Linked DNA regions of Rattus norvegicus. The protein of the gene in region 1 purifies or fractionates together with the protein of each later gene. This does not show direct contact. Links are inferred from orthologs where the notes say so. Each region holds a gene or a part of one and is shown in the gene's direction. Other genes may lie near its edges. The genes, in order: Kcmf1, Abhd10 and Acot9.

Region 1 (3,652 bases):
GGTTAACTTCAACGGCTGGTTGGTTGGTCAGTTGGTCCTTATTTCTTATCTTTATGATTTAGGTGGCTAATTGCTGCACAAGACCTTGCTCAGTTTGGTTCACATTCAATCCTGAGAAGAATAAGGCTTCTAGCAATCTGCTTGAAGCATGTTAGATTAATGTGTATCCAGTGATACAGCAATTCAGGTATATTCTGTTTAGCAACAGAGCTGGGAATAAAAGTTGAAGACAGAAATTAAAGCGGACATTGAAACAAGCCACATTTACAGAATTTAGATTATTCAGCTTGCTCCTTTTCATTGTAGAGACTGAGTGTCTTATTTCTTGATACATAAAATCCAGTGTTAAGAGCACCATAGATCTGTGACCAGGCAGCTCTTTTGACCTCGCTCTGGCAGTGTTCAGGTCTAGAACCTGGAAGAAAGTTCTTGGCCTTCAGAACATATAGAATCTATACATTGCTTTTGTATTATATGTATGTATTGTATGATTGTATTTATCTGGTTTTTTTGAGTCTGGCCTCAAACTCCATTGTTTTCCTGTCTTTGCCTCTGAGTTAGGATTACAGGCATGCATCGATTCAGGATTACATCATGCCTAGCTTATGTCTGTTGTTTCATGTTATCTTTTTTAGGATAAACGAGCCTCATAGAGTTGTGACATTTATATTCTAAGCTAAAAGTACTATTTTAAGCTGCTCACAATTTAGGACTTCCCAACAACTTTCATTTTGTTTTTTCTTCTTTTTGTAAACTACTTATCCTTTCCTTAACCTTGAGTTATGATGAATCGAGTGGTGTTCGACATGTACGTAGAATGTTTCACCCTGGTCGGGGGTTAGGAGGCCCTCGTGCTCGTAGATCAAACATGCACTTTACTAGCAGTTCTACTGGTGGACTCTCTTCTTCTCAGAGTTCATACTCTCCAAGCAGTAGGGAAGCCATGGATCCTATAGCTGGTAAGTTTGTTTCCACTTCTTAAAGGCAAGGGCAGAGGTTGGGGAGCTCCTTTAAAGATGGTTTGTGTAGTTTATGTTTTACTTTTGCTTCTAGTCCTGTGCGTGGATTCCTTCAAGTTTAAGTGGACATCATAAAGTAATCCATGTACTACTGCATTTCTCAAAGGCATTAGGGGATAAGATAACACAGAGGAAGGGCTTTAGGAAAGATTTCAGAGTCCTTAGAATCCTGTGATTCCACCTTAAGGACTTAGGCACTCAGTAAGTTCTTGGGAGGAAAGTAGGAATGTGTCCCTCCTCACCATGATTAAGAACATAGTGATTATTGAACATACTGAAGGAGGATGTTACAATACCTTGAACAACTCCACTAAAACAAGAGTATGGGTTTTACCAGGCCAGAGTCAAGCGCTACAGTGGAGAGGAGGCAGAAGCCAGAATACAAGAACCACATTTATAAACGCTCCAGACTCTGAGGTTTCATCCTGCTAACTCCTCTGATCAAATGAGCAGAGATTTATGAGTGCTGATACCATCATGCCAGGCCCTGATCCAAGAACTGGGAGTAAAGAGTAGACTTTCATGCTTTCATGGTGTTTCCCTTAACAGTTCTTGATTATGATTGGACCTGCTCTTGAGTCTAAATAGTTTTTGGGTTTTTTTTTTTGTTTTTTTGTTTTTTGTTTTTGTTGTTGTTGTTGTTGTTGTTGTTGTTGTTGTTGGGTTTTTTTTTTTTTTCCGGAGCTGGGAACTGAACCCAGGGCCTTGCGCTTGCTAGGCAAGCGCTCTACCACTGAGCTAAATCCCCAACCCTGAGTCTAAATAGTTTTTAAAGCCACCTTTTAAGTTCTGTCTGAAGCAGGCTTAGTTTTATGTAGGTTCACATAGGTGTTGGGTCCTTGGCAGAACTTGGAATATGTTGCGTGAACTTGCATTGTTTCACAACACTTCGATTTTCTCCACTGACAAAATGGTAACGAAGCACTAAGTTTCCCTGTGTCAAGTTGATTGATTATATGCGTTTCCATTGGCAGAGCTGTTATCTCAGTTATCAGGAGTGAGACGTTCTGCAGGAGGACAGCTTAACTCTTCAGGCCCTTCCGCTTCTCAGTTGCAACAACTGCAGATGCAGCTGCAGCTTGAGCGGCAGCATGCGCAGGCGGCCCGGCAACAACTGGAGACTGCTCGCAACGCAAGTCGGCGCACTAACACAAGCAGCGTCACCACTACGATCACACAGGCCACGGCCACAGCCAACACAGCCAACACAGAGAACAGCCCGCAGGCCCTCCACAACTCCCAGTTCCTGTTAACAAGGTATTTCATTGACTAGTGTGGCTGGGCTGGAGAGAGGATGTTTTGTTGACACTGTCCAGTCTAATGAGCTCTTTCCTTTTGTGTGTATAACTTCATGAAAAACTGTCTTGGATTAAAGCATTACAGCTCTCCAATTAAAATACATATTTAATATTCCCCTAGGAACACAAAAACTTACTGTTTCAGATAAAGTAAATGTTGGTGTTTGTGTTTACAAGGTATTACGGGGTGAGTGTGTGTGTGTGTGTGTGTGTATATCATCGTTAAAAATATTTTTCTTTGTTAATTAAACTTTGGGACATTGAAATTGGCTGAGGGAAATAAACTGAATAGAGAATATTACTCTATTCATATACTTCTAGGCTACATAAACAAATACAATAAAATTTTTAAAAGTTATTAAAAAGAAAAACTTTAAAAAATATTTTCTTTCCCATACTACACATAACACTTAAAATGCTGTATCATTTCACTTATATTTATACACCTTTATTAGCTAATTTATTTAATAATGTCTGTTCTAATCTTCCATTAAAGTCTGCTGAAACATTAGAACAGAAGAGGGCTTAATGGAGATGGTGCAGTGGGTAGTGTTCAGTGCATGAGGGCCTGAGTTCAGATCCTCACACCTAAGTAAAGAGTATTCTGTTGTTCCAGCCCTAAGAGTGCCCACCTCTAGCCTTCAGAAATACGAACAGGTACACATACCTGTGTCTACACATGTGCACATGCATGTACCACAAGTATAGATATATAGAAGAACAAACGCTTTCATAATATGGGGGAGGGAGGAGTATATGTGATTTCCCAAAATTAGATTTAAATTCTTAGGATTGTTACCCAAAAGTAACTTTAGAAAATGGCTTACCATGGTATCATTAATACTCATCACATATAGCAGACCATTTATTCCACTGGTGGAAGTTTTCATGTATTTCTAAAACTACCTTGAGGGCTAGGAATGTAGTTCTGTTATAGAATGCTGACCTTACATACACAATGATGCGCAGTCTCTAATCCTCGCACTTGGCTTGTAATGTCAGCACTGAGAAAAATCAAGGATATCCTCCCACATTATGAGTTTGTGGCCAGCCTGAGACACATGAGACCCTATCAAAGGGGCTGAAGAAGTAGCTCAGAACTTGGAGCCTTGCTGTTTTTCCCTGAGGAGACCTGGCTTCAGTTCCCAGCACCTAGATGGCAGCTCACAGACTGTCCAGTGACCTGACTTCAGAGGTTCTGGCAGCCTCTGCTGGCCCCTTCAGGTACCAGGCGTGCACAGATGCACATGCACACATGCCAGCAGACACTCATTCACATACAGAAGTCTTTAAAAAGAGTAACACGAGGGCGGGAGAGCTGGCTAGCAGTTTAGA
Region 2 (4,141 bases), on another chromosome or scaffold:
TCTTGAATTATTTTTCTATTGCCACTGATTACTACACACACACACACACACACACACACACACACACACACACACACACACCTTGCTTTTGTCTTTACAAAAACTGTTCTTTTAAGATAATACACAGCCTTATGAACTCATGTTGAAGGGAGTCTAGCCAGCTTGAGCAGGCAAAGATGACTTTGGAAGTCCTTGCCCTTCTCATTCATTTCCTCTGCTTTGCTGGAAACTGTAGCCCCCAAGGTCTATTTCCTTATTTGGCCACTTCCTGCCCACTACCAAGTCTGAAAATCAAAGTATTTAAGTCCAGCAAAAAGCCCCCTGTGGCTGTCTTAGTCCTAATTAATATGTCCAATCAAAATTAAACACCTCATCCTAGCATGGGTCTTATCCTTTTACCTTTATAATCTGCCCTTTTCCTATGGACCGCATCTGTCTTCTCTCTATCCAGAGGCAGTCCTATGTCCCCCATCTGGAACAAATACCCCTTCCTCCTCTCTTGTTTCCTCCTCTTTCTCTCTCATCCCCCATGTCCAGAATTTGTCTTTTACTCCCTGCCCTTTGTGTCTGTGGGACAAATCTCTATGTGGTGGGAACTTGGTCTAGGGGTCCCTTCAGTGTTCTTTTTATTTAGGATAGTCATAAAAGGAATGGTAGTTCAAAGAGTACTGAAAAGTATGTGCATAATAAACAAACATGGCCAGATTGCCTGACAAAAGACTTTAGGTTTTCACCCATAGAGCAACCATATGTGAATGAGTGTTTTCAGTACTTTTACTTGTGGCTGCTCATTTGAATGTTTAGCAATCTGGTGAGTGGGAAAATGTTTGGGAGAGAGCAAAGAATGTTTGATGCGACTCCAATAATGTGACTGGCCTCTTGAATTTTTACCCCCATAGGAGTAATCAAAGAAGCCTAGCAAATTTTATCACAGGTCTTTGGGTCCTCCGGATGGTAACACGGTTTCCCATTTACAAACGCTCCATTTGACCATAGCTCCTCTCTGAGATTTCTGCAGCTTACTGCGATGAAAAACGGCCAAGGACGCCTAATGTCACAAGCCAAATGCCCTTTGGGGTACACAGAACAAACTAGTCGAGACAGCCACACGCCAGACAGCACCCTTGCGCATGCGTCTCCTCGGGAGAAACAAATCCCACGTGATGCAAGTTAGCAACCTCCGCCTTCCTGCGGACTGCGCGTGCGTGACCTCGGGACCGCGCGACCGGTGCACGTCTGTAGCGGGCGCAGGGGTAGCTGGGAAGATGGCTGCCTGGGTACCTTGTCGGAAGTGGGGCTGGGCGGCTGTGTCCTTCGGCCGGCACCGAGGCCTGATCGCGTCACTTGCTCGGAAGCCCCCATGGGCATGGTGGCTCTCAGGTTAGTGTAGGGGAAGGTGGGGTACTGGGGTTCTTTCGAAGGCCTGGCGATCGTCCAGTGCCCGCCTTGCGGGCTCGGCGCGCCATTCAAAACTGCTCTGGCTTTCTCGGCACTGAACACTTCTGGGGAAGGCTGGGAGAGTCTACTCTTCTGCTGAGGCTCTGGGGCGTTCTTGGAGGTCCTTGTGTTTACATTGCGATTTAAGGAGCTCCTGCGTTCTCTGAATCAAACCTCAAGACCAGAAAAGAAAAGTTAAGATGTGCATTTGATGTATTTGAATATTAACTGCTTCTAGGGCTTTACCATATTGTGTCAAATGTTTGGCCTTGCCAGTCGCGGACTTAAGGAAACAAAGTATGTATATACAAGTAAATGCCATCTTTGGACCTAACATCTGATTTTTCTTGTTGAAAAAATTGGAATTACTCTACAATGGAAACTAAAATTTGGATCAATAATATTACATACATAGAATACATGATTTGTGTGTGTATAGTTATCCTTGAATAATATCCTTGGAATAGTAATGCCATTATATAAATTAACATGTTTAATTTTTTTAAAGTATGTAATCAGATTAGCTTAACACTGTACACACACAAAAAAAGAGTATTATGTAATGCTAGGAAGTATAGTTAGTTAACAAGAGGAACATATTTTTTTATCTCTTTAGCAGTATTCATTAACAGTGTATACATTAGGCTTTCAGCTAATCTATATTATATATAGATTGAAGGTTGAATCTGTTGTTTTACAGCTAACAAACATCAATTCAGTGTAACCGCCTGAAATGAAATTTGTTGGGGGGGTTATGCCTGAAACGGGATAAAAAAAGTAGTTTGAGTGTTTAATTAAAGAAATGGGATATGAACATTAATGTTGATACAATCTATTGACCAGCATAAACTGATCCCCAGAAACCCTGTTTTAAATCCAGTTTTAAAGTTGGTGCATTTTTCCATACACTAAACGTTTGAATCTATTTGACACAAATAAGGGAAAACTTCAAAACTTTTGATTCTTTGTGTGTGTTTGGGGGCAGGGTATGGTTTGTGAGACAGGGTTTCACCACCTAGCCTCTTGTCTTTCCTACAACTCAGTGTACAGAACAAGCTGACCTGGAAATTGTAGTGGTCCCCCCCTGCCTGTGGCTCTCTACTCATTTTTTTTCTCAAAAATTAAAAATGGGAAAAAACATTTAGCAGTACACAGGGGAGAGACCCAGAAGCTTTTACAAGCAACATGAGTTAAAGTAAGACTGCTTAATTTTCTTTTTTAATAAGGGCTAGCAAAGATGGCTCAGCAAAGAAAGCCCTGTAAGAGTCACCATTTGTCCCGACACATTTAGATAGTTCTAAGGTATATGTGTTCCACTTACAAAAAGGCAGCCAACCAAAGTAGAGCATCAATTACAGAGCTGTTTGAGAAATATGTCTCCAAGAATGATAATTGATCCAAACTTATTCTTAAAGGAACGGCCGTGTGAAACCCCACATGTAGGAAGTTACGGTTTGTTACCACTTGCTTGCCATTTCTGGGGAGGATTGCTAAGTGGTAATCGGGTCAAACACAGCTCAGTGCTTCGGATATCATTCCCTCCTCAATAAATACTTTCAAGACTCGTGATTATTTCACCTCCGATTCCCAAAACCTGGGGTTGCAGGAGTCAGTTTCCCTTTGAAATAATTTTGTAAAGGCAGGGGAGAGAAAGAAACAAAACACACCTCCACTTCTTTCCTCCTATTCATCTGACCAAAGTAGAAGATATGAATTCCTGAAACATCTTTAAAACGGAGAAATCTCAGGGGAAAAGCTGAAAGTGATGTATTTAAATTTAAATGTTCATTGCTAATGTTTAGGATAATCCCATTATGCCAACATGAAGATATTTTTTGATGAGTCTCTTTTTTGTTTTACTGAAATTGCTATTTCATTCTGTATTTTGGGAAAGTATGATTGGGCCTTCCTCTAAGAAGTTAAAAATTTTTGATGCAACCTTAAAACTAAAAATCTCCTACTTGAAGCTTATTTTGACTTTTCCTGTCAAATGCAGCGGGATAAGAAAGTTAAAATGTGAAAATACGTGTGATTTTTTTTTCCAAAAATAATTTTCAAAGTATCATTGACGCTTTGTGTACTTTGTTTAGCTTGCAGACAAAAGACAACACTCTCTTTCCTTAAACGACCAGAACTTCCAAGCCTGGCTTATAAGAGGTTAAAGGGCAAAAACCCAGGAATTATCTTCATCCCTGGTTATCTTTCTAACATGAATGGTAAAAAGGCAGTAGCGATTGAGGAGTTTTGCAAATCTATAGGTCACGCCTTTATCAGGTAGGAACAATACATTTCAGCGAATATATTGCCATTTAGTATTGAAATTAAGTAAATGAAGTAAAGGCCAGTGTTTTAGTAAATGGAGTTATTTAATAGTGTGCAGACTTTGGTTTTATGAGTTAGGGACGTTAAGGTATGGGTGCTGTGCTGGCTAGATTGGCAGCAGAAGGTAGAAGGGAGCTAGTAACTTAGTTCTCTAGATAAAACAATCTGTGTGGCAAAGGAATATACTTGTTGGATTTCTTGTAATCTCCTGTGATGATGGGTTTTCCACTGAAGACAAAAGACTTATTTGATCACTGTTTATTACTTTCTAACATGGGTGCTTGAGGCTGAGTAGTGATAGTATAGTATAGTACAGTACAGTACAGTATGTATAGTACAGTATAGTATAGTACAGTACAGTATGTACAGTACAGTACATACT
Region 3 (3,652 bases), on another chromosome or scaffold:
CAGCACACCTAAAAGCTCTAGAAGAAAAAGAAGCAAATACACCCAGGAGGAGTAGAAGGCAGGAAATAATCAAACTCAGAGCTGAAATCAACCAAGTAGAAACAAAAAGGACCATAGAAAGAATCAACAGAACCAAAAGTTGCTTCTTTGAGAAAATCAACAAGATAGATAAACCCTTAGCCAGACTAACGAGAGGACACAGAGAGTGTGTCCAAATTAACAAAATCAGAAATGAAAAGGGAGACATAACTACAGATTCGGAGGAAATTCAAAAAATCATCAGATCTTACTATAAAAACCTATATTCAACAAAATTTGAAAATCTTCAGGAAATGGACAATTTCCTAGACAGATACCAGGTATCGAAGTTAAATCAGGAACAGATAAACCAGTTAAACAACCCCATAACTTCTAAGGAAATAGAAGCAGTCATTAAAGGTCTCCCAACCAAAAAGAGCCCAGGTCCAGACGGGTTTAGTGCAGAATTCTATCAAACCTTCATAGAAGACCTCATACCAATATTATCCAAACTATTCCACAAAATTGAAACAGATGGAGCCCTACCGAATTCCTTCTACGAAGCCACAATTACTCTTATACCTAAACCACACAAAGACACAACAAAGAAAGAGAACTTCAGACCAATTTCCCTTATGAATATCGACGCAAAAATACTCAATAAAATTCTGGCAAACCGAATTCAAGAGCACATCAAAACAATCATCCATCATGATCAAGTAGGCTTCATCCCAGGCATGCAGGGATGGTTTAATATACGGAAAACCATCAACGTGATCCATTATATAAACAAACTGAAAGAACAGAACCACATGATCATTTCATTAGATGCTGAGAAAGCATTTGACAAAATTCAACACCCCTTCATGATAAAAGTCCTGGAAAGAATAGGAATTCAAGGCCCATACCTAAACATAGTAAAAGCCATATACAGCAAACCAGTTGCTAACATTAAACTAAATGGAGAGAAACTTGAAGCAATCCCACTAAAATCAGGGACTAGACAAGGCTGCCCACTCTCTCCCTACTTATTCAATATAGTTCTTGAAGTTCTAGCCAGAGCAATCAGACAACAAAAGGAGATCAAAGGGATACAGATCGGAAAAGAAGAAGTCAAAATATCACTATTTGCAGATGACATGATAGTATATTTAAGTGATCCCAAAAGTTCCACCAGAGAACTACTAAAGCTGATAAACAACTTCAGCAAAGTGGCTGGGTATAAAATTAACTCAAATAAATCATTTAAATTTAGAAGCACTTTGTATATAATAGTGCTGCTAAATTTTTCGTTTCCTGCTGCTTTCTCTTTTGTGTTCTACTTTAGTTTTCTGTTTTCCGCTTTTGTCTTTTAAAAACATTTTCTTCCCTTTTACCTTTTATTCTGCTTTGCATACATTGTTTGGATATCATTCATTTTTTTCTCATTTGTCTCTTTTCTAAAACTAAAGGAAAGGGGAGGGAGAGGGAGAGGGGAAGAGAGGAGAGAGACTATGAGAACAAATATGAATCTGACAGGATAATGAGACTCTGAAGTAGTGTTATAACCCTGCCTCATCTCTCTTCCCCTTTCTGGCTTAGTGTTGAATTCAGGATTTTACACATGCTAGGCAAGTATTCTACTCCCAAGCTATGTTGCTAGTATGAATAAGCCTTCTAAAAGATAAAACTTTTTATGTGTTTTCTATGCATGGGTATCATGTGTGTTCAGTGTCTGAGGAGGCTAGGAGGTGGCATCAGATCCTCTGGAAATATAGTTACAGATGGTTGTGAGTGCTGGGAAGCCAATCAGAGTCCTCTAAACAAGAAGCCACTGCTCTTAAACACTGAATGATAACTTGATTTCTGAAGAAACTTTTTGGTCAGTGTCCCAATTAGATGTACCTATATCAGTAAATATGCATTTTTATATATATGGCTAGCCCCCAGCTCTCACAGTTGGTAGAGCATGAGACTCTTACGTACAAGTTTAAAAATGTCATTAGAAATGCTCAGTTTCACACATGGTATGCACTCATTGATAAGTGGACATTAGCCCAAATGCTTGAATTACCCTAGATGCCTAGAACAAATGAAACTCAAGACGGATGATCAAAATGTGAATGCTTCACTCCTTCTTTAAAAGGGGGAACAAGAATACCCTTGGCAGGGAATAGAGAAGCAAAGATTAAAACAGAGACAGAAGGAACACCCATTCAGAGCCTGCCCCACATGTGGCCCATACATATACAGTCACCCAATTAGACAAGATGGATGAAGCAAAGAAGTGCAGACCGACAGGAGCTGGATGTAGATCGCTCCTGAGAGACACAGCCAGAATACAGCAAATACAGAGGCAAATGCCAGCAGCAAACCACTGAACTGAGAATAGGACCCCGTTTGAAGGAATCAGAGAAAGAACTGGAAGAGCTTGAATGGGCTCGAGACCCCATATGAACAACAATGCCAAGCAACCAGAGCTTCCAGGGACTAAGCCACTGCCTAAAGACTATACATGGACTGACCCTGGACTCTGACCTCATAGGTAGCATTGAATATCCTAGTAAGAGCACCAGTGGAAGGGGAAGCCCTGGGTCCTGCTAAGACTGAACCCCCAGTGAACTAGATTGTTGGGGGGAGGGCGACAATGGGGGGAGGATGGGGAGGGGAACACCCATAAGGAAGGGGAGAGGGGAGGGGGATGTTTGCCCGGAAACCGGGAAAGGGAATAACATTCGAAATGTAAATACGAAATACTCAAGTTAATTAAAAAAAAAAGAAATGCTCAGTTTCTCCAGGTGGGTCATGAGAGAGGAGTGAAGGGATTGAAGATAAGGCAGGCATAGATCTCCCTTGCTTCCATTTTTTATGTCTGACTATCCTGTTTGAGGGATGGGTACTGGAATTGTGGGTCAGCACTATTCTTGTTTTATGAAGCCTTGCCTTTTCTTCTCAGAGACCATGTAAAAGCAATGGAGGAAAGGAAGTTACTTCATAATTTTTTGGCTACATCACAGAAAGCCCTACCACCGAGGAAAATGAAGGACAGTTACATTGAAGTCCTCCTGCCTTTGGGTTCTGACCCTGATCTACGAGACAAATATTTGACTGTTCAAAATACAGTGAGGTAACACTGTATTATATTCATCATTGTCATTTGTTTTAATTTTTTCTTTTAAAACAACTATAGTGAGATACAATTCATAAACTTTGTAATTCATCTATTTTAAAGTGTATGACTGTATATGAGTGTTTCAGTATAGTGAAAGAGTTGTGACTGTATATGAGTGTTTCAGTATAGTGAAAGAGTTGTGTAAATATCACTAAAGTCATTTTTATAGTCCTTTTATTATTTTAAAGTGTATTATGGGATTTTAAGGGGAAATCATTGTGATTTTTATTTAATTCATATTTTGCTTTGTTTCACAGATTTGGCAGGATTCTTGAGGACCTTGATAGCTTAGGAGGTACTGGTATTTGTATTCCTAATAACAGTTATGGGTAGACTGTGATTCCATGACAGAAAGGGCCATTTTATTTTACCTTTTTAATCTGGACATAGGAGGACATAAAAGGACAAACAATATTTTTCATTGTCATATTGTTTTTATTCTAAACAAAGAGTTCTCTTCAATAGAGTTACCATTCAAATGAG

What was found.
Region 2: the proteins of Kcmf1 (region 1) and Abhd10 purify together in Homo sapiens (affinity purification with mass spectrometry; 3 studies listed by BioGRID and IntAct, counting the BioPlex papers as one, with this or other methods). This does not show direct contact. The link is inferred for Rattus norvegicus from reciprocal best matches to the Homo sapiens genes KCMF1 and ABHD10.
Region 3: the proteins of Kcmf1 (region 1) and Acot9 purify together in Homo sapiens (affinity purification with mass spectrometry; 3 studies listed by BioGRID and IntAct, with this or other methods). This does not show direct contact. The link is inferred for Rattus norvegicus from reciprocal best matches to the Homo sapiens genes KCMF1 and ACOT9.

Annotation. Positions count from the first base shown.
Region 1 is NC_086022.1:106,452,763-106,456,414, reverse strand, and holds part of Kcmf1 (E3 ubiquitin-protein ligase KCMF1), read left to right. Parts: intron 1-784; coding exon 785-959; intron 960-1,993; coding exon 1,994-2,276; intron 2,277-2,524; exon of another isoform or gene 2,525-2,647; intron 2,648-3,652. UniProt on the Homo sapiens protein: E3 ubiquitin-protein ligase which accepts ubiquitin from an E2 ubiquitin-conjugating enzyme and then transfers it to targeted substrates, promoting their degradation by the proteasome.
Region 2 is NC_086029.1:68,542,675-68,546,815, forward strand, and holds the start of Abhd10 (palmitoyl-protein thioesterase ABHD10, mitochondrial precursor), read left to right. Parts: upstream 1-1,260; 5' UTR 1,261-1,265; coding exon 1,266-1,380; intron 1,381-3,527; coding exon 3,528-3,711; intron 3,712-4,141. UniProt on the Homo sapiens protein: Acts as an acyl-protein thioesterase that hydrolyzes fatty acids from acylated residues in proteins.
Region 3 is NC_086039.1:43,956,123-43,959,774, reverse strand, and holds part of Acot9 (acyl-coenzyme A thioesterase 9, mitochondrial), read left to right. Parts: intron 1-2,953; coding exon 2,954-3,124; intron 3,125-3,426; coding exon 3,427-3,464; intron 3,465-3,652. UniProt on the Homo sapiens protein: Mitochondrial acyl-CoA thioesterase. Catalyzes the hydrolysis of acyl-CoAs into free fatty acids and coenzyme A (CoA), regulating their respective intracellular levels. Regulates both mitochondrial lipid and amino acid metabolism.